3 linked regions of the Anolis sagrei genome follow. The protein of the gene in region 3 purifies or fractionates together with the protein of the main gene of each other region. This does not show direct contact. Links are inferred from orthologs where the notes say so. Each region holds a gene or a part of one and is shown on either strand. Other genes may lie near its edges.

Evidence for each region. The genes of interacting proteins can lie anywhere in the genome.
Region 1: the proteins of RAF1 (region 3) and DICER1 purify together in Homo sapiens (affinity purification with mass spectrometry; 3 studies listed by BioGRID and IntAct, with this or other methods). This does not show direct contact. The link is inferred for Anolis sagrei from reciprocal best matches to the Homo sapiens genes RAF1 and DICER1.
Region 2: the proteins of RAF1 (region 3) and CCT5 purify together in Homo sapiens (affinity purification with mass spectrometry; 3 studies listed by BioGRID and IntAct, with this or other methods). This does not show direct contact. The link is inferred for Anolis sagrei from reciprocal best matches to the Homo sapiens genes RAF1 and CCT5.

The regions. Positions count from the first base shown.
Region 1 is NC_090021.1:318,038,596-318,045,890, forward strand, and holds the start of DICER1 (endoribonuclease Dicer), read right to left. Parts: upstream 3,009-7,295; 5' UTR 2,830-3,008; exon of another isoform or gene 2,668-2,829; intron 1-2,667. UniProt on the Homo sapiens protein: Double-stranded RNA (dsRNA) endoribonuclease playing a central role in short dsRNA-mediated post-transcriptional gene silencing.
Region 2 is NC_090024.1:140,479,299-140,486,351, reverse strand, and holds the start of CCT5 (T-complex protein 1 subunit epsilon), read left to right. Parts: upstream 1-4,045; 5' UTR 4,046-4,167; coding exon 4,168-4,272; intron 4,273-7,053. UniProt on the Homo sapiens protein: Component of the chaperonin-containing T-complex (TRiC), a molecular chaperone complex that assists the folding of actin, tubulin and other proteins upon ATP hydrolysis.
Region 3 is NC_090022.1:64,260,446-64,267,944, reverse strand, and holds the start of RAF1 (RAF proto-oncogene serine/threonine-protein kinase), read right to left. Parts: upstream 3,019-7,499; 5' UTR 2,856-3,018; intron 1-2,855. UniProt on the Homo sapiens protein: Serine/threonine-protein kinase that acts as a regulatory link between the membrane-associated Ras GTPases and the MAPK/ERK cascade, and this critical regulatory link functions as a switch determining cell fate decisions including proliferation, differentiation, apoptosis, survival and oncogenic transformation.

The sequences.
Region 1 (7,295 bases), on a different chromosome or scaffold from region 3:
CAACAGATCTCACTACCTCTGAGGATGCTTGCCATAGATGCAGGCGAAACGTCAGGAGAGAATGCCTCTAGACCATGGCCATATAGCCCGAAAAAACCTACAACAACCCAGTGATTCTGGCCATGAAAGCCTTCGACAATACATTTTGATAAATGTTTTTAGTTTTTATGTATTGTATGTGGATTTGTGTCCCGGCATTGAATGTTTGCTGTTTATATGCTGTGCTCCACCCTGAGTCCCCTTTGGGGTGAGAAGGGCGGAATATAAATATTTTAAATTTAAACATGAGCCAACTATGTGATGTGGCGGCAAAAAAAGCCAATGGGATTTTGGCCTGCATCAATAGGAGCATAGTGTCTAGATCTAGGGAAGTCATGCTCCCCAGGCTCTATTCTGCCTTGGTTAGACCACACCTGGAATATTGTGTCCAATTCTGGGCACCACAATTTAAGCGAGATATTGACAAGCTGGAATGTGTCCAGAGGAGGGTGACTAAAATGATCAAGGGTCTGGAGAACAAGACCTATGAGGAGTGGCTTAAGGAGCTGGGCATGTTTAACCTGAAGAAGAGAAGGCTGAGAGGAGATATGATAGCCATGTATAAATATGTGAGGGGAAGCCACAGGGAGGAGGGAGCAAGCTTGTTTTCTGCTTCCTTGGAGACTAGGACGCAGAACAATGGCTTCAAACTACAAGAGAGGAGATTCCATCTGAACATGAGGAAGAACTTCCTGACTGTGAGAGCCGTTCAGCAGTGGAACTCTCTGCCCCGGAGTGTGGTGGAGGCTCCTTCTTTGGAAGCTTTTAAACAGAGGCTGGATGGCCATCTGTCGAGGGTGCTTTGAATTTGATTTTCCTGCTTCTTGGCTCATGGGGTCTCTTCCAACTCTATGATTCTACATAACTCAATTTGTACTAACACCATATGAAAATGTTTAGAAAGAACATTCAAATGAGGAGCGTCTTAAAGAGCTGGGTATGTTTAGCCTGAAGAAGAGAAGGCTGAGAGGAGACATGATGGCCATGTATAAATATGTGAGTGGAAGTCACAGGGAGGAGGGAGCAAGCTTGTTTTCTGCTGCCATGGAGACTAGGACATGGAGCAATGGCTTCATACAAGATTCTTCCTTAACATTAGGAAAAACTTCCTGACTGTGAGAGCTGTTCAGCAGTGGAACTCTCTGCCCCGGAGTGTGGTGGAGGCTTCTTCTTTGGAGGCTTTTAAACTGATGGCCATCTGTCAGGGGTGCTTTGAATTGTGTATTTCAATATTTTGATAATATTTTGCCTAGTTCCAACAGACCTCACTTCCTCTGAGGATGCTTGCCATAGATGCAAGCGAAACGTCAGGAGAGAATGCCTCTAGACCAGGGGTCCTCAAACTTTTTAAACAGAGGGCCAGGTCACAGTCCCTCAAACTGTTGGAGGGCTGGATTATAATTTGAAAAAAACATGAATGAATTCCTATGCACACGGCACATATCTTATTTGTAGTGCAAAAAACACTTAAAAACAATACAATAATTAAAATGAAGAACAATTTTAACAAATATAAATATATTAGTATTTCAATGGGAAGTGTGGGCCTGCTTTTGGCTAATGAGATAGGATTGTTGTTGTTGTGTGCTTTTGAGTCGTTACAGACTTAGGTTGACCCTGTGTGGGGGCCGGGTAAATGACCTTGGAGGGCCACATCCGGCCCCCAGGCCTTAGTTTGGGGACCCCTGCTCTAGACCATGGCCATATAGCCCGAAAAAAACCTACAACAACCGAGTGATTCTGGCCATGAATGCCTTCGACAATACATTTTGATAAATGTTTTTAGTTTTTATGTATTGTATGTGGATTTGTGTCCCGGCATTGAATGTTTGCCGTGTATATGCTGTGCTCCACCCTGAGTCCCCTTTGGGGTGAGAAGGGCGGAATATAAATGTTTTAAATAATAAAGAAATGCGATTTTCCTGCTTCTTGGCAGAACGGGGTTGGACTGGATGGCCCACAAGGTCTCTTCCAATTCAATGATTCCTAGAATTTGTAGCATAAAGTGCATAATTGCCTATGTTTGAACGGGCATTCGGTTAAACAGTGCAATGAATGTGATGATTACAGGAATGGAAATTTGACGAATTGGATCACGACTCTAGTTATGAGATGCATTGTGTTGTCTATTGTTGTGTCAATATTGTATATTATGCTTTTATGGTTTTAAACTGTATATTGTTGATTGATTCTTATTCTTGTTGTAAACCGCGTTGAGTCGCCTGTTGGGCTGAGAAACTGCGGTATACAAGTAAAGTAAATAAATAAATATAGTGTAACTTCTTTAATAAATGTTCCTTTCTTCCCCTCCAAGTGCCCCAACCAGGTGTGTTTGACCTCACACAGGAAAGTGTGGGAGTTGAAGTCCAAAACCCTTGGAGGGCCAAAGTTAGATTTTGTGTCCTAAGTCAGTAGAAGCAGCAAAGGCGGCGAAGGGGAGGAAAGGCCCCGACCGCGTTGCCTGGCCAGACAAAGGCCTCCTCCTCCTCCTTCTCTTCGGCCCATCCTTCCCACTCGAGGAGGGAGAGAAGGCAGGGAAGAAAGGGGCCGCCGGCTCCCGTAGCAGGTGCTAGGCCTCACGCGGCTCCTCCTGAGGAGGGCGGCGGCGCCTCCTTCCTTCCTTCCTACCTACCTGCCAGGTGGGTCCCGCTCCCGGCTACAGGCGTCGCCTCATTGTGCCGCCATTGCTGCTGCCGCCGCCGCTCCTCCTCTTCCTCCTCCTCCTCCCGCCGCCATTGCTCCTCCGCCTCCTCCTCCTCCTGGGCTCAACTGTCAGGTCCCTCCATTCACCTGAGGCCGGCGCAGACGAGCCTCTTCCCCTCCCGCGCAGGCGCAGCTCCGCCCTCGCCTCCCTCTCTCTTCGAGAATTCGAAGCCGCCGCTGCCTGGTGCTACACAGTTCTCTCCTCACTCTCTCCTCGCCTCACGTATTGCTTTCCTCCCTCCTCTCGGCGCACGCGCGTTGGCGTCGCCCCTGTTGGATGAAAGAGCGCACGCGATTGGGGGGGAAACGCTGGGTGAGAGGTTAAAGGTAGGGACGCGGACCAATAGGGTGGCGGGAGACGGCAAAGGCTTGGTGAGAACGCGGCCCGGAGGGGAGGGGCTGGAGGAGTGGGTCTCACGTGCCTCTTTCCGGGTTCTTTTTTTTACCCTGAATTTAAACTTTGTGGCGAAGTGGTTTTTTTTTTTTTAAAGGGGAAGGCCTACATTTTTAAACATTCATTTTTGATTCTGAAGTAAAGTGAAGAAAAACCTAGTGAGAACCAAAACAATACCCCCCCAAAAAGAGCATATTTTCCTAATATATTCACTGGAAGCTTTTAAACGGGCTGGATGGCCATCTGTCAGGGGTGATTTGAATGCAATATTACCCCCCAAAAGAGCATATTTTCCTAATATATTCACTGGAAGCTTTTAAACGGGCTGGATGGCCATCTGTCAGGGGTGATTTGAATGCAATATTACCCCCCAAAAGAGCATATTTTCCTAATATATTCACTGGAAGCTTTTAAACGGGCTGGATGGCCATCTGTCAGGGGTGATTTGAATGCAATATTACCCCCCAAAAGAGCATATTTTCCTAATATATTCACTGGAAGCTTTTAAACAGGGGCTGGATGGCCATCTGTCAGGGGTGATTTGAATGCAATATTCCTGCTTCTTGGCAGAATGGGGTTGGACTGGATGGCCCATGAGGTCTCTTCCAACTCTTTGATTCTATGATTCTATGATTTATCACATGTTTTGGTAATGTATAGAATTATTATACTAGCCACGCCCTGCCACGCGTTGCTGTGGCCCAGTCTGTGTATATGTGTTTTGTGTGTGTGTATGTGTGCATATAGTTGTGTATATGTGCTTTTGTGCTTGCGTTGTAATGTATTTTTTTTTATTTTGGCTTTTTAAAGTCTCTTCCACTGTGTTCTTCAGTGATTTTATGAGTGATGGTCACTCCTTGGCCTGATAGGTGTCTTGCGTCCAAATTTGGTGTCAATTCGCTCAGTGGTTTTTGAGTTCTGTTAATCCCACAAAAGAACATTACATTTTTATTTATATATATTATATATAATATAAAGTGTTTTAAGATGGATGGATGGCATCCTTGAAGTGACCAGACTGACCAGAAGGAGCTGGGGGTGGTGACGGCCGACAGGGAGCTCTGGCGTGGGCTGGTCCAGGAGGTCACGAAGAGTCGGAGACGACTGAACGAATGAACAACAACAAAGTGTTTTATAAGTTTTACATAAACAAGGGGTTTCATTGCATAAAAAAAATTGTTGCACTAAAGAGAAAAAATAGAAGATAATATCGAAAGCGTAGTTTTGTAATCTATAAAACTTGTATTTATTATATTTATATAATAATATAAATTATATGAATTACATAATATGATATATGTTATATTTATATAATATACATCATCTAATGTAAATTACACAATATAATGTATATTATATTTATATAATATACATTATAAATTATATACATAATATGTAGGCTACTCCATTTCTTCAGTGTTCCTCTGTTTTGTAATCTATAAAACTTATATTTATTATATTTATATAATAATCTATATATAAAAAAATGCTCTGTGCATAATGAGTACCTTAAAAACAAAAAAACCCAATGAACGAAATCACCCCAAATTTGGCAACAAAACGTCTCACAATACAAGGAGTGACCATCACTCAAAAAATTACGATTTTGTAATTTGGGAGTTGTAGTTATTGGGATTTATAGTTCACCTATAATCAAAGCATTCTGAACTCTGTCAACGAGGGAATTGAACCAAACTTGGCACACAGGACTCCCATAACCAACAGACAACACTAGAAGGGTTTGGTGGGCATTGACCTTGAGTTTGGGAGTTGTAATTCACCTACATCCAGAGAGCACTTTGGAGTCAAACAATGATGGATCTGGACCAAACGTGGCACAAGCACTCAATACACCTAAATATGAACACAGATGGAGTTTGGGGGAAATAGACCTTGACATTTGGGAGCTATAGTCACTGGGATTCACAGTTCACCTACAATCGAAGAGCATTCTGAACCCCATGAACGACAGAATCAGGCAAACTTCCCACACAGGACACCCACAACCAACAGAAAATACTTAAGGCCATCCAACTCCCTTCATCAGGGCAAGAAAACGTAATCAAAGTCCCTCTGTCAAAGAGCCATCCAGCCATAGATACAGATAGATAGATAGATAGATAGATAGATATGATTCACACACCAGAAGTTTATATGCTTTTGAAAGGATTCTTGATTTTTTTTAAAAAAAAAAACATAGTTAACCTCAAATCATTTGCTTACTGACTGGTGATATGCATCATTTTAATTGAGAAGGCTAGGGGAGAAGCATTTTATTTATGTGCACCTGGTGCTCAGGGATCTTGTCTCCCATGTTATATAAGAAGAAGCCCACCTTCATATATGCTACGGAAAGGCTGTTACAGGAGCAAATTATGTCATCCACAATATCAGAACTCCATTTACCTCCATATCTTACATTGTGCTATATATCCGGGCTTCTGGACCCTTCCGACCGAGAAATTTTTATGTGACTCCAAATATATAGATACATGAAGTAGATATAAAAATCAAACATTTATTTAAAATCAATCAACATTTGCAAGGCTTGATAAACAGGCCGATTTTCCTTTTGTGAAATACAGGTGAAGCATTTTCTGCAGAGTTCACTGTAAACCAGTGTTTCTTAACCTGGGGCTCAGGACCCCTGGGGGGGGGGGGTCGCGTGAGAATGTCAGAGGGGTATCCAAAGACCATTGGAGAAAACTGTATTTTGTGTTGGTGAGGGGGTTCAGTGTGGGAAGTTTGGCCCAATTCTATCATTGGTGGAGTTCAGAATGCACTTTGTAAGGGAACTATAAATCTCAGCAACTACTACTTCCAAATGACAGAATCAAGTCCCCCCAACCCCACCAGTATTAAGCTGTATTAAGGGGTCACGACATTAGGAAGGTTGTTGCTAACAGATTTGTGTGGCATTCAGAAACCTTTTATTGTTCATGATCCCAGCATTGTGCTAAGGGGACCCCATTTGGGGTCAGGACCCACAGTTTAAGAAACAATACTATATATCATTATTTAGCAGCAATGCTTTTCTGCCTTTTATATATATGACAAGCAACTATCCTCAGACAGCATTTCATACGTATTGCAATGTGAAAGACGTGAACTATATCAAGAGCCTCAACTGTTGTCTCCCTGGCTTAAATGACAATATATGTGCTTTATCACATTATTGTGGTTGTTAACTTTAACTTTGGATGCATCTGTACTCCAGAATTAATGAAACTTGGCACCACTTTAATTGGCAATTGCTCAATGCTATGGAATCCTGGAAGTTATAGATTTACAAGGTTTCTCTGCCAAAGATGTCAATGATTTGGGGCCCAATTTGGGGGTTTCCCATCAAGCAATAAGATTGCCATGTTTCTGTAACTCACAAAAGGTTTGCCAGAAAGGAATACTTTGAGAACTCTGAATTCAGCAGGACTCTGAAGGATAGTTGACAAGTCTACAGAAGGAATGCCTTGATTTGTGGGTGTGTTTTTCTGCTCCTGACAACTTGAAAAGAAAATTTGTGGGGGTTAGAAAGGAATTGACAGCTGCTTCCAACGACTTTATTATACTTTCTATTTTGCAGTCTCTTCTTTCATTTCACGAAATGACTGTCACCCCCTTTCTTCAGCTGTTCTGCTGCCTTTCAAATTCCAGGCTGGGGCATAAATGGCATGACTCTCCCTGAAAATGTTCTAGCTGTATTGTAATTAAACTACCAAAACACCATTACAGTTTCTTTTGATGCCATTGTCTAATATGTCTCTATTAAAAAGAGAAAAATACTCAACATTTTCACATCCAGCGCTTTAGTCGCAATTATGGACATAACAAGTTTGGTGAACGTACTGTGGTTATGACTGATTTAGCCCAATTATTCAGGGAAAGATTTACTATCTACCAATGCAAAAAACGAATAGATAAATTAGAATAAAATTATTGTTTCAGTGTATTTATGGACAGTTTCAAGGGATTCTGGAGGTCAATATAATTTATGAATGAAGATATGAGGAAAAGCTAAGTGTATGACATTTTCCTTGGCTTTCTTTTAGTGTAAAACTTTAGATAGGTGTTCTTTGATACATAGGAAAGAAAATGAAGGAGATTCACCAGTTCCTCCCTTTTTTGGATAAGCATTCTTAATAGGCCTACTATGATGATTTCC
Region 2 (7,053 bases), on a different chromosome or scaffold from region 3:
GTATAAAATCCACACTGAAGTGGATTATATGGCAGTGTGGACTCAGATAACCCAGTTCAAAGCAGTTATTGGGGATTATCTGCCTTGATATTCTGGGTTATATGGCTGTGTGGAAGGGTCCTTAGAAACTCTCATTTGAGATATGGTGGGTGGTTATCGGGAGAAAAGAAGTTTACTCTGGAGTCAATCCAGTTGTGGAATTCTCTTCCCAAATAAGGTTGCCTGGCATGCACTTTGTGATATTTTCAATGACATCATTTTAATTTACCCAGGAATGGTAAACAAGTTCAGAATCTTTGACTAGTTCAATTCATTTCTGGATGTTGCTGAAAGTTTTTGTCACACTATTTTTTTCTGTTTTCATCTTTAATTGTTTATATTCATATTTTATTATTTTTATTGTGTGATGGGAGATACCAAGGACATAGATCTGCTAAATTTGCAACTCTATTTGCCCTCAACCATACGTTCAATGCTAGGGTGGGGTGGAAATCAGTCTAGTTGTGAAGCTAGAATAAAGAAATTCTTCATTGCCACATGGAAGGGAAATATCCTTGTTGTCCCATCCACCAAGGGAGCTTTGGATAGATCTACATTCCCAGCATAATTCAGGCTGTTCTTCACACTGTAATTCTATACACACAAATCTGAGAAAAATGTTTTTGGATTTCTTTTTAAATAGGCATCCAGATGATAGTACTATCAACCACAGAATAGGGTGAAACTGTGTAACATGAGCCCTCCTACAGGTGGGACAAGAGAATGACAAAAGGGAAGAAAAGCTATCCTAGAGAAGTGTTCACTCAGGTTTTTAAAAAAGCATTTTTAATTGGTTTTCCCACTTTTGCAAGGATCTTGCACCTGTAACCCCAGAGAATGTGCACGGCCTATTGTAAAGTCAAAGTACTGTTGAAATAAGTGGAAGGTCAAGAGGATCCCAGTAGTTTATAATATGCTTCAAGCATATAACCATAAATTGGATCCAAAAACTGCAGATCCTGGATAGCGTATTGCAAAACGACATTGGCTAATAAAATGCATCAAGTAATTTCAGAAGGAAATCAGCCTGGGCTTTATAGTTACAGCAAAGGCACTGCCTTTATAGATAAGGAAAAACAAGATTGTTGTAATAGAAATACGTCATTTTATTGTCCAGATGTATATTTATATTTTGAACAAAAGGCTACTGTCAGAACCCCAGGGATACAAACAAGGGAACTATGGGAGGAAGAATTGGAAATAAAAATAGGAGAAAAGGAATTGGGAAAAATTATGGGGAGCAAGAAACCTCAAGAATTTATCAATTAGGATAAAAGAAAACTACTACAAGATGGTATGGAAATGGTACCTGACCCCGACAAAATTACACAATATGGATAAGGGTTGTTCAGAAAAATGTTGGAGGGGTTGCCAAGAAGGGGGTACATATATCTACATGTGGTGGCAAGGTACAGGGATTCTGGGGAAAAGTTATAGTAGAAAGTATTACGAAGAAAAAAATTAATATATATCCGGCGACTATACTGTTATCTATTTATAATACAGATGAATGGAAGGAAAATGAAAAGAATTTGATAACAATGTTGTTAACGGCTGCAAGGCTACAAATAGCAAAAAGGAGAGGTGAAAATTAAGACAGAAGAAATTACCAATAAATGATAACTAACATGTAATCTAAAGGTTAAAAAAGGCCTAAGGAAGGATAATGATTTTGAAAGTATATGGAAAATATTTATTGAAGAAACATTAAGGAAAGAAGATGGGAACCAACCCCTACCAGAAGAAATGAGGTTCTGGTGGGAGCATTGTGCAGAAGTCATTGATACTATGTATGTGTTTAACTGTTAGAGTATATTTGTGTTTGTAACAGTAGCTAAAATTAGAGTTATCTGGTTTGAATCCACATTGAGCGTTGCCAAGGAGACCAGGCAGGCTAGCTCAGGAGAGTGAGAAGTGGGCGGAGCCAAGCAGGAAAAGTTATAGGTGTCTTTGGAAAAGGACCAGAGTGTGGGAGAGTGGAGGCTTAAAAAAGCCTGGGAGAGACGGGTGTGTGAGCAGCTGGAGGTTTTTCAGTCTAGAAGGGCTGAAGAGAGAAACCTGACCAGTTTCTTTAGTCAAGGAAGACTAAAGGAAGCCTGTTAGGATCCCTAGTCAAGGAAGGACTAGAGATCAGAGATTTGATCAAGGAAAGATCAAATTGGAAGGCTAGTTATAGTGGGAAACATTGTTCACTAAAGAGCTTCACCTCAGTAAAAGTCGGCCACAAGCTGTGTTATTTGAAAGAGTGGACTATATTAAAACCAAGTGACATTCAGAGTTCTATAAGTTATTTTAACAGCCTGCAACCATACGCTTTGTACACAATAAACTTGTTATCTTTTGTTAAAAACCGTCTCATCTCATCTAACCTGTCTAATATCACCTAATCTCATCGGTGATACCTCAAATACCTCACATTGGTGGCAGTTACCTTGATTTACAACTAATAATTGGCCTCCTCTATAATATATTCTTATACACAATTGAGGCCTGAGATTAATTCCCTCCACAATCATCCACATCTGCACAATTGGTTTGCGCATCTTCTCAAGCATAAAGAAAAGAACTCCAGAGATGGGGACCACAAGGGGTAGCACAATGGGGGGAAAGGAGAAGTAATTATATGAATTGTAGAGATTGTTTTGCAATGAAATGAATGCAATAATGGTCATATATTCCAGTTCAAAGCAGATAATGTGGTATTTTAATCAGCTGTGTGGAAGGGGTCGCAGTGAACTGGAACTCAAGCAACTGGAGGCCTTCCCACAAGGCTGTATAAAATCCCACATTAACTGCTTTGAACTGGAATATATTGTAGTGTGGACTCAGATAACCCAGTTCAAAGCAGATATTGTGAATTATCTACCTTGATATTCTGAGTTATATGGCTGTGTGGAAGGGCCCCGAGAGTTCACTGTTCTCAATAAATGTTCTTCCAAGCTTTTAAGCAGAGGCTGGATGGCCATCTGTCAGGGGTGATTTGAATGCAATATTCCTGCTTCTTGGCAGGGGGTTGGACTGGATGGCCCATGAGGTCTCTTCCAACTCTTTGATTCTATGATTCTAAGCCCCAGCCTTCTTACAAGTAGATAAATTCAATGAAAAGTCACGTTTTCAATCTGAATCCTGGGATTTGTAGTTTGGCGAGGCAACAATTCGTTAGCAAAGGAGGCTACAGACTAAAGGCTAGCTTCCATGATTCCATAGCATTCATTCCACAGTGTAGATCGACCCTTGGCCCAAACCAAGCCAATGCCTTTGATGTTGAAGCTAACTGGGAAGGGAGTTCCACGAGTATCCATTAACACTTACTTCTGTGGATCCAGCCACTGACTAAACGTGTTCGGAGGGAGCCTGCAAGCGACTTCCGGAAACAGTGAGACTAAGGCTGGCCTTGCTGCTGGAGTGGACAGTACCATTATTCCCACAAAGGTGGGGAAGTCTAAGTATCTCAACGAACGTCCCTTCTCTACTTTCCACTGAAAAGCAAAAAGCAAAACAAAGGCAAGTCGTTTACCACATTGTCTTTGAGAGCAGCTCGGATTTTAAAGGCTTGCGTTTCTCAATGGCCTCTATTGTCATTTGAAAAGAAAACATCCCCCCCCCCCCCAAAAAAAAGAACCATCTGAGAATAACTAAATTATAGAGGTAGGAAACTATAGAGTCATTAGAAACCTGCAGTTGTATAGGAAGCCGTCATTGACACATGACGCTGAGGAGCTCGAGGCTATGGCATTATAAGGGCCCTTCCACACAGCCCTATATCCCAGAATATCTGCTTTGAACTGGATTTTTTGAGGTAAAGTGGGATTTCCTGCCTCGATATTTTGGAATATAGGGCTGTGTGGAAGCGCCCCAAGAAAGAAACTCTGTAGAAAAAAAATGGCCCCTTGCGCATGCGCAGTTGCTCGCACTGCTCGTGGACACTTCCAGAATAGGAGTCGTCGCGCGAAGAGTTCGAGAAAGCCCTTCGCCGCAAAGAGGTGGCCGGTGCGCATGCGCCTGTTCTTTCATTGGGCGGTCTCGCGAGAAGAGAAGAGCGAGCGAGAGGCGTCCGCGTTGTGGTAGCGGCGCTCACGCGGGTTCTTTTCTTTTCCTCGTTGCCGTTAGCCCGGCTCTGTTTGCATCATGTCGGCCGTGGGGACGCTGGCCTTTGACGAGTATGGACGACCTTTTTTCATCCTCAAGGACCAGGACCGGAAAACCCGCGTGACAGGCATAGAGGCCTTGAAGGTGAGAGCCATGGCGGGGAAGGCGTTGGGCGGTGGTTGTAGGCCCTTCCTATGTTCTCTCTCTCTCTCACCCCCCCCCCCACCTCGAGTTGGAAGATTCCTTCTCCATATACTTGAGGCGTACAATGGGCGGTACCATTTCGCACTGCGGGGAGGGATGGCCTAGTCATGCTTTCCCTTGCATTCTGGTGGCAGAGAATCGAAATACAGACTTTGCTACATCAGTGTAGGCTAGGCCTGAGCAAACTTCGGCCCTCCAAGTGTTTTGGACTTCAACTCCCACAATTCCTAACAGGACTCTTCCTTCTATTCAGCTCTAAGAAAAAATGAAAGATTGAAAAGAAGATGCTTACGCAAAGAATGGCAAACACAGTAGGGTACTGAAACATTTGAAAGCAGCCTTCTTCAAACAGGCAATTTCAGATCTGATGGACTATAACTCCCATTATCCTAGCAAATATTGTCATTGGGGGATTTATTTATTTACTTCATTTATATACCGCTTTTCTCAGCCCCCAGGCAGCTCAAAGCAGTTAACAACAGCAAAATTCAATGCAAAACATCACAAAACCATTAATGGACAATTAAAACAATAGCATCATCAACAATTAAACAATATAACAATCCTCACCACCTCTGAGGATGCTTGCCATAGATGCAGGTGAAACGTCAGGAGAAAAATTGCCTCCAGAACATGGCCATATAGCCCGGAAAAACCTACAACAACCCAGTGATTCCGGCCATGAAAGCCTTCGACAATACAATATAACAATCATTAGCGTCTCATCAGTAAAATCAGAATCCATTCTCATCATACGTTAATCCGTGTTCCTATATTCATTACACCAGCAGCAACAGTGCAGAAAACATGCAGACAAAAGCACATGATTAGAAATGTCATTGAATTGGGTAATAATGACAGTTCTGAGTGGAACGCATGCACATTAGAAGGTTCAATAATAATAATAAGCTTATACCCCACCACAATCTCCCCCAATGGGGACTCGGGGCGGCTTACATGAGGCCAAGCCCAAACAACAAGTTACAATAAAATAAGATACAAATTGCAATAAAATAAACAATATAGCATTAAAATATAAAACATATAAACAATATACACAAAACATAAAAAAAAGTAAACCAGACATAATGACAATGAGCGTGCCGTATGTACATAAAATGATTTAAAAACTCAGGGTGAGATAAAGGAGCAGAATTATTTGTAAGGGAGTGTGCAATTTACAATGAGACCCAATTTGTGTGAATGACAATGGACTGACCTGGACTATGATTTCAAATCTGCGTGATTTAAACAAATGTTTTAGTGATTTCAAAGCATTAACAATTTTTTTAAATTTCTTTTACAATTTATTACTCTTGTTGGCATTGAATGAATGCCTGTTGTAAAGCTGCTCTGAGTTCCCCTCCAGGAGTAAGAAGGACATGATACAAATATGGGGAATAATAAATAAATCAGGACAGGGTTTTAATCTTGTATGTGTAGATACAGTACATGCAAGCTGGGCTAAAGTAAAATGTTTTTTGTGGTTATATTTAACTGCAGATATATTTCTGTAAATACATAATTAATAGATTTCTGCTGAAATAGTGGAGAAAAACTTTATAAAGCGTAGTTTTAGTATCACCCTTTGTTGGTATCAGTTGGGGTAGTTTGCATCCTGTGCATCTCCATAGTGCTTCCACTGGATGGAAGAACCTCAGTTACTAATGCCTGAAAATGCAACCAAGTGTATGGCTGACTTACGTGCAGCCCATCCCCACTCCAAATAAAAATAATAATGTCTAAGTAAGTGAGACCAGCAGGTGAACAACCTTTTAAGATCGTTTGCTGGACCCTGATGATCTTGCTAACTCAGGCATGGCTGGTACACTGTTAGGAATTATAGGAGTTGAAGTTCAAAACACCTGGAGGGCTGGAGTTTGCCTAGGCCTGGTGTAGATAATTCTTTCTTCCAGTGCATTGTGAAGTGGTGCCATTCCTTTTGTCATTGAACTCTGCCAATCCAGAATAATGAAAATAGCCTGATGAGTTAGTACAGGATGGATATCCCTTATCTGAAAGTAGAACCAGAAGTGTGTGGGATTCCAGATTTTGGGGAGATTTTGGAACACTTTTATTTGGATCTGTATGTACATAATGAAAAGACAGACCTCCCAGTTTTACAGAAGTGAAGTAGAAGCTACATTCATACGTCCCAGGAACAGATGGCTTACTCCCTCAAAGGGCAGCTTCAATTCTCAGCGAGAACAACAATGAGATATCGTAGGGTGCAGCAACACCAGGCGTGGCAAATTTTGGCCCTCCAGGTGTTTTGGACTTCAACTCTCACAATTCCTAACAGCCTACCAGCTGTTAGGAATTGTGAGACTTGAAGTCCAAAACACCCAGAGGGCCAAAGTTTGCCCATGTCTGATCTACCTTGTAGAAGTAATGCAGTTTGACACCAAATTACTGTCCATGGGATCATGGGAGTTGTAGTTTGGTTTAGAATCAGTACTTTTTGTCAGAAAAAGGTGAAGATTTTGTAAAACTACAGCTTCCATGATCCAATAACATTAAGCCATGGCAGTTCAAGTGGTGTCAGGCTGCATTAATTCTGCAGTGTAGATGTACCCCAGGAGATGGGACAATAACTCCAAGCTGAAAATTCATTGATGTTTCATATACACGTAGCCTGGAGGTCATTTTAAAATAATATCTTTAAGGCTTTTGTGCATGAAACAAAGGTTTGTGCACATTGAAGCATCAGAAAACAAAGAT
Region 3 (7,499 bases):
CTGTTTGTTCTGTAGGAAGGATAATTCCCACCTGCTGATTTAAAGGATCAGTGCCTCTTTTGTGCCATGCTCCAAGCAGTAGCGAAAACAGATTTTCAATTTCTATTTATGTTACACAGAGTGTCATTGCAAAATGCAGAGGAACACTCACATGAAATTAATATTTCTCAACATAAACAGTTAATCCAAAGAGATATATGTTGTGCCTCTAATCTATGTATCTTTTTGTTTGTTTGCAAACTAATTTCTATGTCTAAAGCAAAAGCAGAAATCATGCAGACTTCAAGTGTTGTTATTATTCCAACATTTCTCCACTGGCTAGGACTGCTGTAATCCAACATCATCTCAAACTACATGATTTCCACCTCAGTCTAGAATTAGTTTAGTGCAAAGCCATAGGAGGACCTTGGCTGAGATAAACCAAGAGAGGCCTCTTGTTTAAAGTGTTACTTCAGCTAAAATCAGCATCCCTTCACGATGTATTATTTCGTCAACCCTTTCTGCTCATCTGCAATATGGAGATGATAGTAATTTTGGACTGGTATCAGAACATAAGATGATTATTTATTTTATTTATTTATATTCTGCCAAAAGGGACTCGAGACTAACAAGATATTTTAAACAACACAAGCTATGTTATAGTGCACCAGACCCTTGCTTCATGTAACCAAAACCCATCCATTTTGAGTGGCAGCTGCTCTCCAGAATTTTATGCAGATTTTCCCCTAGTTCTACTTGGTGTTGCGAGAGAAGGAAACTTGGAGCTCCTGAATACAAAACATCAATTACTAAGTTGTAACTCTGTGCATTAGAAAACACCGGGGGACCTGTGGACCTCTATAGCTTTCTAGACTCGCATTCCCATCAGCCACAGTCAGCCTGACATGAATTGAACTATGACGGAAGCAGTCGTTGATTAAGTACTGGAAACTCCCAAGTTCCTCATTCTAGCTGTAAAGTTTTGTTATAAGGATTCATTAGATGTATGTGAAATGTATGTGAAATATGTGAAAATCTCACATATATTTGGGAGATCAGTATTTGAATTCCAACTCAGTGATAGAATCCCACTACGAAGCACTGAAGTCTGTGCTGAGTTGTGGCCTTTGTAAGGGTCATTGATCACATCTGGGGTTTGGTTCCAGAGCCACTTGTAGAGACTGGTCACCAAAATCTGTAGATGCTCAAGTTCCGTTACATACAATGGTGTAGTGAAATGGCATCATTTATATAAAATGTCAAAATCAATTTGTGGAAACTGGGAGGTAACTGTACTGTTTACAGAAATGCAACTTCCAGGTACTAAATGCAAAGTAACAACAAAGACTAATATGGTGGTCTCTTGAGCTGTAGAAAGCATCTGCCATGAACTTCAATTTAAATAAGAAAATATGAATCTGTTGTATACCGAGAACCAATTTCAGGATAGATGGGATTATGGTAGATCCAGAAATTGAAACCCCTGTTTATCCCAAACACCTTGAATTCATGCTAAGGTTCGAGATAGTCATGGGGATTATGATTATGGAATGGTCCCACTTTGTCATCTTTCTGCTCCAGCTCAGGTCCATGACTCAACACTTGGCCAGATGACAGAAAATCACTTTGTGGAAAGATGGCAATGAAGGAGCTACATCTCACATCCACAAAGAGTCCGTGTCTCATGTTTGTTCTTCAAGTTAGATTCTCTGTGTTTAAATGGGCATCACCTATTTAGCATAGAGTTTGGAACACTATCTTTAAAAAAATTAAGTAAAACTAATCCATTAAAAGTAATGGTGTTTCAAATCCTTTCATTTGTCCTGGACACACCAGCAAGACTGGCCACCTGAAAAAGAGGACAATAGTTGTATGGAAGAATGAGTTTTGTCAAGTGGTATCTACTGAAATGGTATCTTCCACATAACATGGGGCATTTTTTTTAATGTGGCTACCGTGACTCTATTTCATAGTTTTAGAGCCCCCCCCTCCCCCCCAAAGCTTATGCACTTTGTATATGGTCAGGTAAACTCAGTACTGCTAAGCTTGACCACATGTGACAAAGGGCAATTTTGGCACAGAGCAAGTGATATCTAGGGCTGTTTTTAGTCTGCTTTTTATAAAATAGCATTTTAATGTGTTTTTAAGCATTTTATCCTTGCATTGTTTTAATTGATTTTATTCACCCCTTGTAAGCTGGGAGGTGATACAGAAATACTTGTTTAATAGATGAATATGTTTCTAGGTTCTCATACTCTTTGCAAAAGTAATTTCTAGAGACGTATTGTAACTCCAGCCTCTTTCCCCTCAGTTTAATGTACTGGCCTAAAAATTAAATTTGATGCCTCAATTACAAATACAGGCATTACATGTAAACACTGTCTAATTACCATGTGTGAAAATGATTACTTCTCTCTATAGACAGCTCTGGGATTTTCTCAGACAGAAGCCAAGTCTCCCAGACTTAATTAGATTTTTTTTTAAAAAAACTTCAATAAAAATATGTCAGTGACAAAATAAGTTACTCCAATGAAGAGCAAATACCAGTTTTAATAATTATAGTAATCTAAAGGCATAATTGGGGAACACAATGTAAAGATCCACAACCACTTAATATGTACTAATTTCTTCTCAGGAATGAATCAGATCAATAAATAATCACAAAACATATTACAATCACCACAAAGTTGTAATTCCTTGCCGGTTTGAGAACTCATTATTTATCTAGTAGAGACTTTTTGCCTTTTGCTCTGACAAAGTGTAAACAGAGCTATCATCCCACTTTCAAGACTTAACAAGAAAATATACCCCAGACTGGAAAGACTGTGAGAATTATTGTTTACTACACAGTAGTCTTCAGCCAAATTTTCACTTACCTATTGAAGTTTTGAAAGCATGAACTTTTCAAAGGCCGATTAAAAGTTAATTGGAAAGGCTGCATACAGGGCCATCCAGTTTGCTTCAAGGATTAATAAGCAGCAAAAGAGCCTAGGCAGAACCGAAAAGAAGGTGCAGTGGATGTTGACTCCAAGGAGGCAGATGGGAGGAAGAGCCCGATTGAGATGGACAGCTCAGTTTCCCACCCCCAGATTCCCATGCAGATTAGCCAGGCACTCTGGTAGATCACATGGCTGCAACAGCCTAAAAAAAGACCACCCACCTACCCCCCAACAGCCAAATAACCTCCAGTCTATTCACGTTTTCTTTGGAGGAGCTACATGCCACAGAGCCCTCCCTTGAAACACTCCCTTCTCTTGTCCCCTCTCTGGCTCCATTTTAATAGCATGTTTTGCTTGCTTTGGCTTTCTGCTTTTCTCACTCTTTTATTTTTAGATTGTCAATATAATACAGTGGCTTTCAGAGGTTGCATGACACCATCCATGTAACAGGATCTCAGGCTTCTGAGTGCCAGGAATTACGGGCCTCCATCAGCATACTGCTGAGGGCATCAGCTTTACTATGCTGGGTGAAACAAAAGTATCTGAAAACTCCACTTGAAATGAAGACTTAAAGAAGGGAATAGTAATTCAGTCAATGGCACTATAGCACTCTAGCTATTTGATATTTCTCCATTAACTGCAAATCCCAAGATTCCAGAAGATAGAGCCATGAAAAATTAAAGTACAATCATGGTGCTATATTTGTACTGAGCGAAGGGGCCATGGAGAAATAAATTGTGACTATGTGGTTCATTGGTGCAAGGGAGAGCAAGAGTTCCAGTAAAGCAGTTTTCCGAAACTTGGCATGAATTGGACCACAATTCATATCATCCTCTTCCTGTGAATGAGATTAGGTAGGACCGGGCTGCTGCAATACAGCAATATGCAGTCAGGAAAGTAAGTGTTGAAGTGTGGACACAGCATGGCATAGGGTGCTATCCCACTGAAGAGGCCAGAATAGCCATCCTGTCTCATTCAGTGTTAATATCATTCTGTAATCAGATGCTTGGATTACTCACACATTCACACTTGTCCATTCCTTCCCCGTCTGTAAATTACTAGCACATGTTTCCCAGTATCGCACAGTCCATCACTGTACTATATGTTTCCAATGGCCATGTCCCCTTGCTGCCATCCCCCTTTTTTCCCTTTTGCTGCAAGTTGTGCAAGAGCAAAACGGTGGGTTTTTGAATTTTATGAATGATCCCATTATTATTAATTATTATTAAGTTTATTTACACTCTACTTGCTCTCTTCACAAAGAACACTCAGGACCTCATCACACTAGAGAATGAATCCACTTTAAATCCGGTTTCTGCCTCCTGCAGAATTCTAGGGTTTGTAGTTTTGGGAGAAGCCTCACAAAACTACAAATTCCAAAATTTTGCATGAGGCAGAAACTGGATTTAAAGTGGATTCATTTTCCAGTGTGATGAGGACTCAAAGTGGCTAGAATGTAGGATACACATTGGTCTTTGGATGTGGGTGTATTACAACTTCCATCATCTGCCCTCAGTTCCCCCAAACCCCTACCAGTATTTTAAGATGTCCATAATGGGTATGAGGCAACTTTGGTCCAGATGCATAGTTGCTGTGTTTCACAGGGTTCCTTATTTATTTATTTATTTATTTATTTACTATATTTATATACTGCCCCTCTCAGCCCAGAGGTGACTCAGGGCGGTTTACAGTCAGTACTAAAATCATAAAATGCAATTAAAAACATCCAGATAGCATAACGCCATAGAAAAGTTAACAAAAGCATGTGTCATTGGAGTCTCCTAGTTAAAAACATTATCCAATCACATCATCCAGTCATTCATTTTCCTATGTCTGTTACACTGTGTTTGCAAATGCTTGCTCAAAAAGCCACGTCTTGACTTTTTTCTGGAATGTTAAAAGGGAAGGGGCCGATCTGATCTCGCTAGGGAGGGTGTTCCATAGCCGAGGGGTCACCACTGAGAAGGCCCTGTCTCTCGTCCCCGCCAGCCGCACTTGTGACGAATGCAGGATCAAGAGCAGGGCATCCCCAGACAATCTTAAAGTCCTGGAAGGTTTGTAAGGGGAGATGCGTCCGGACAGGTAAGTTGGGCCAGAACCGTGGTGGATTGTGGTGGACTACAACTCCTGACATCATATGTTATATCCCCCCCCCCCCCAAACCCTGCCAGTATTTTAAAATGGTTACAATGATGGCTTTGTGTGCCAGCTTTGGTCCTAATCCATCACTGGCATGCTTCACAGGGCTCCCTGGATGTGAAAGCCATCATAGAAAATACATACAAACATTCATCCATACAAGCATACATATATACGAAAACATGTCAGCTTCTACTCCTAACAGACTATCAGCTGGAAGTTTGGTCCGCCCATGACACGCCTCCACAGACATCATTGGCTAAAGGGACGAATTGAAGACGAGAGAAACGAATAGAACCCGTCACAATACAAAGGAGGACGGTTTGGGTGCAGTCCATAGCAATAAAGCCAATTGCAGCAGATGAGTTTCAAACAGGATCAGACGGGGTGCCTACAAGAAAGGAGCCAATGCTACCATATGATTCCATGTGAAAGAACCCAAATTAGTACTTTTTAAAGCCACTGGATAATATACATACTGATATGTCCTTCTATCCCAACCCACCAGGAAGAGTCCAAAAATGCAGCTCTATTAATCCGCACCAACAAAAGTATTTTAAAATATATATCTTGATCAGTACTATTGAAGCAAAACAAAAAAGTTTAGATTGATTTTTAGATGTGTTCTAAATCTTTGCAGTGACACTGAAAAAGAGATCAAAATATGAAATTTTAAAATTAGATTTAAAAAATAAACCATTTTAAAAAACATAAACACAAGGCATCCTTGAGCAGATTGCCATTTGCTCACCCACTAAAACCAATGGAAAAGAAAGAGATGTGCTTGCAACACAGAGAAAAAGAATGATACATCTCAAAATATTGGGAGTCATTTTTAGTCTAGATTTGGCTTACGGCATAAGAGCAAAAACATGGTAAGGCTAAACACCACCCACCTGGCACTATGCATGTAGAGCACTGTAGAAAGTTTGTTTTCATCTGGCTGCTGAGATAGATGCAAAGTGGTAAGGACAAGTTGTCTTCAAACTGTTTTCCAATACAAACTGAAGAGCAATCTTTCCATGAAAGAACACATTCACAGAAGCACTTTCTTACATGAACTCTCTGAACTGAATCCAGTGGAGGATGTTAGTCATGCTTTACTCAACTTTTCAAGATGCAGGGACATCCAGATGGGCTGGATTACACCTCCCATCACTCCAATTATTGCCTCCAATTATTGCTGGCTGAGGGTAATGGACAGTTGTAGTCCAACCATCCGGAGGGCCTTGGGTTGGGAAAATCACGCTGAAGTAAATACAATTAAAGTAGTCATCATGACATCTTTTGTTCCACTGAAATCCATGTGAGGAACAGGTAACTACTTCTGTATTCTATAATTTTCCACAGTTGTAATAGTTTTTTGTTTTGTTTTTTTTTTTGTCGTGTCAGAAGCAACCGCTCTGACATGACATGACGTTGCCCAGGGGACGCCTGGATGATTTTTTGATGTTTTATCATCCTTGTGGGAAGTTTCTCTCATGTCCCCACATGAGGAGCTGGAGCTGATAGAGGGAGCTCATCCGCCTCTCCCCGGATTCGAACCTGCGACCTGTCGGTCTTCAGTCCTGTTGGCACGGGGCTTTAACCCACTGCGCCACCGGGGGCTCCATGTTGTAATAGTAATTCATGCTCTTGGAAAATAACTGCTCTGAATGGTTCACAAGAAGCAACATTAGAGTGATGCTCATCTGCCACAAAACCTGTATCTCTAGACAGAAGGTGGAGGCTTCCTCTTTGAAGGCTTTTAAGCAGAGGCTTTGAATGTGATTTTCCCGATTCTTGGCAGGAGGTTGGACTACATGGCCCACGAGGTCTCTTCCGACTCTATGATCCTACAATAAGGGTGAAGCGACCAAAACTACATACCTTACTTAAGGTAAATGGTTCACATTACTGCAGCAAAAGGAAAAGGCATGAACTGCTCTTCATTTTTGGAACTACAACTCCTAGATGTCCCATCCTTAGGCATTACAAGCTAGTTGTCAAATGTGCAGCTGGATGAAGATTTTAAAAGCTGTGATCTCTACTGTTAACCCTATCAAATTGTAGTCATTAACATTGCAAATTGTAGTCATTAACATGACAAACATGGAGAAAACATGGAGGCAGTGACATACTTTGTATTTCTAGGTGCAAAGATTACTGCAGGCACAGACTTCAGCCAGGAAATCAGAAGACGTTTACTTTTTGGGAGGAGAGAAATGACCAATCTCGATAAAATAGTGAAGAGTAGAGACATCACACTGGCAATGAAGATCCATATAGTTTAAGCAATGGTATACCCCGTAGCAACCTACGGATGTGAGAGCTAGACCATAAAGAAGGCTGAACAAAGGAAGATAGATGTTTTTGAACTGTGTTGTTGGAGGAAAATTCTGAGAATGCCTTGGACTGGCAGAAGGTCCAACCAGTCCATACTTCAGGAAATAAAACCTGACT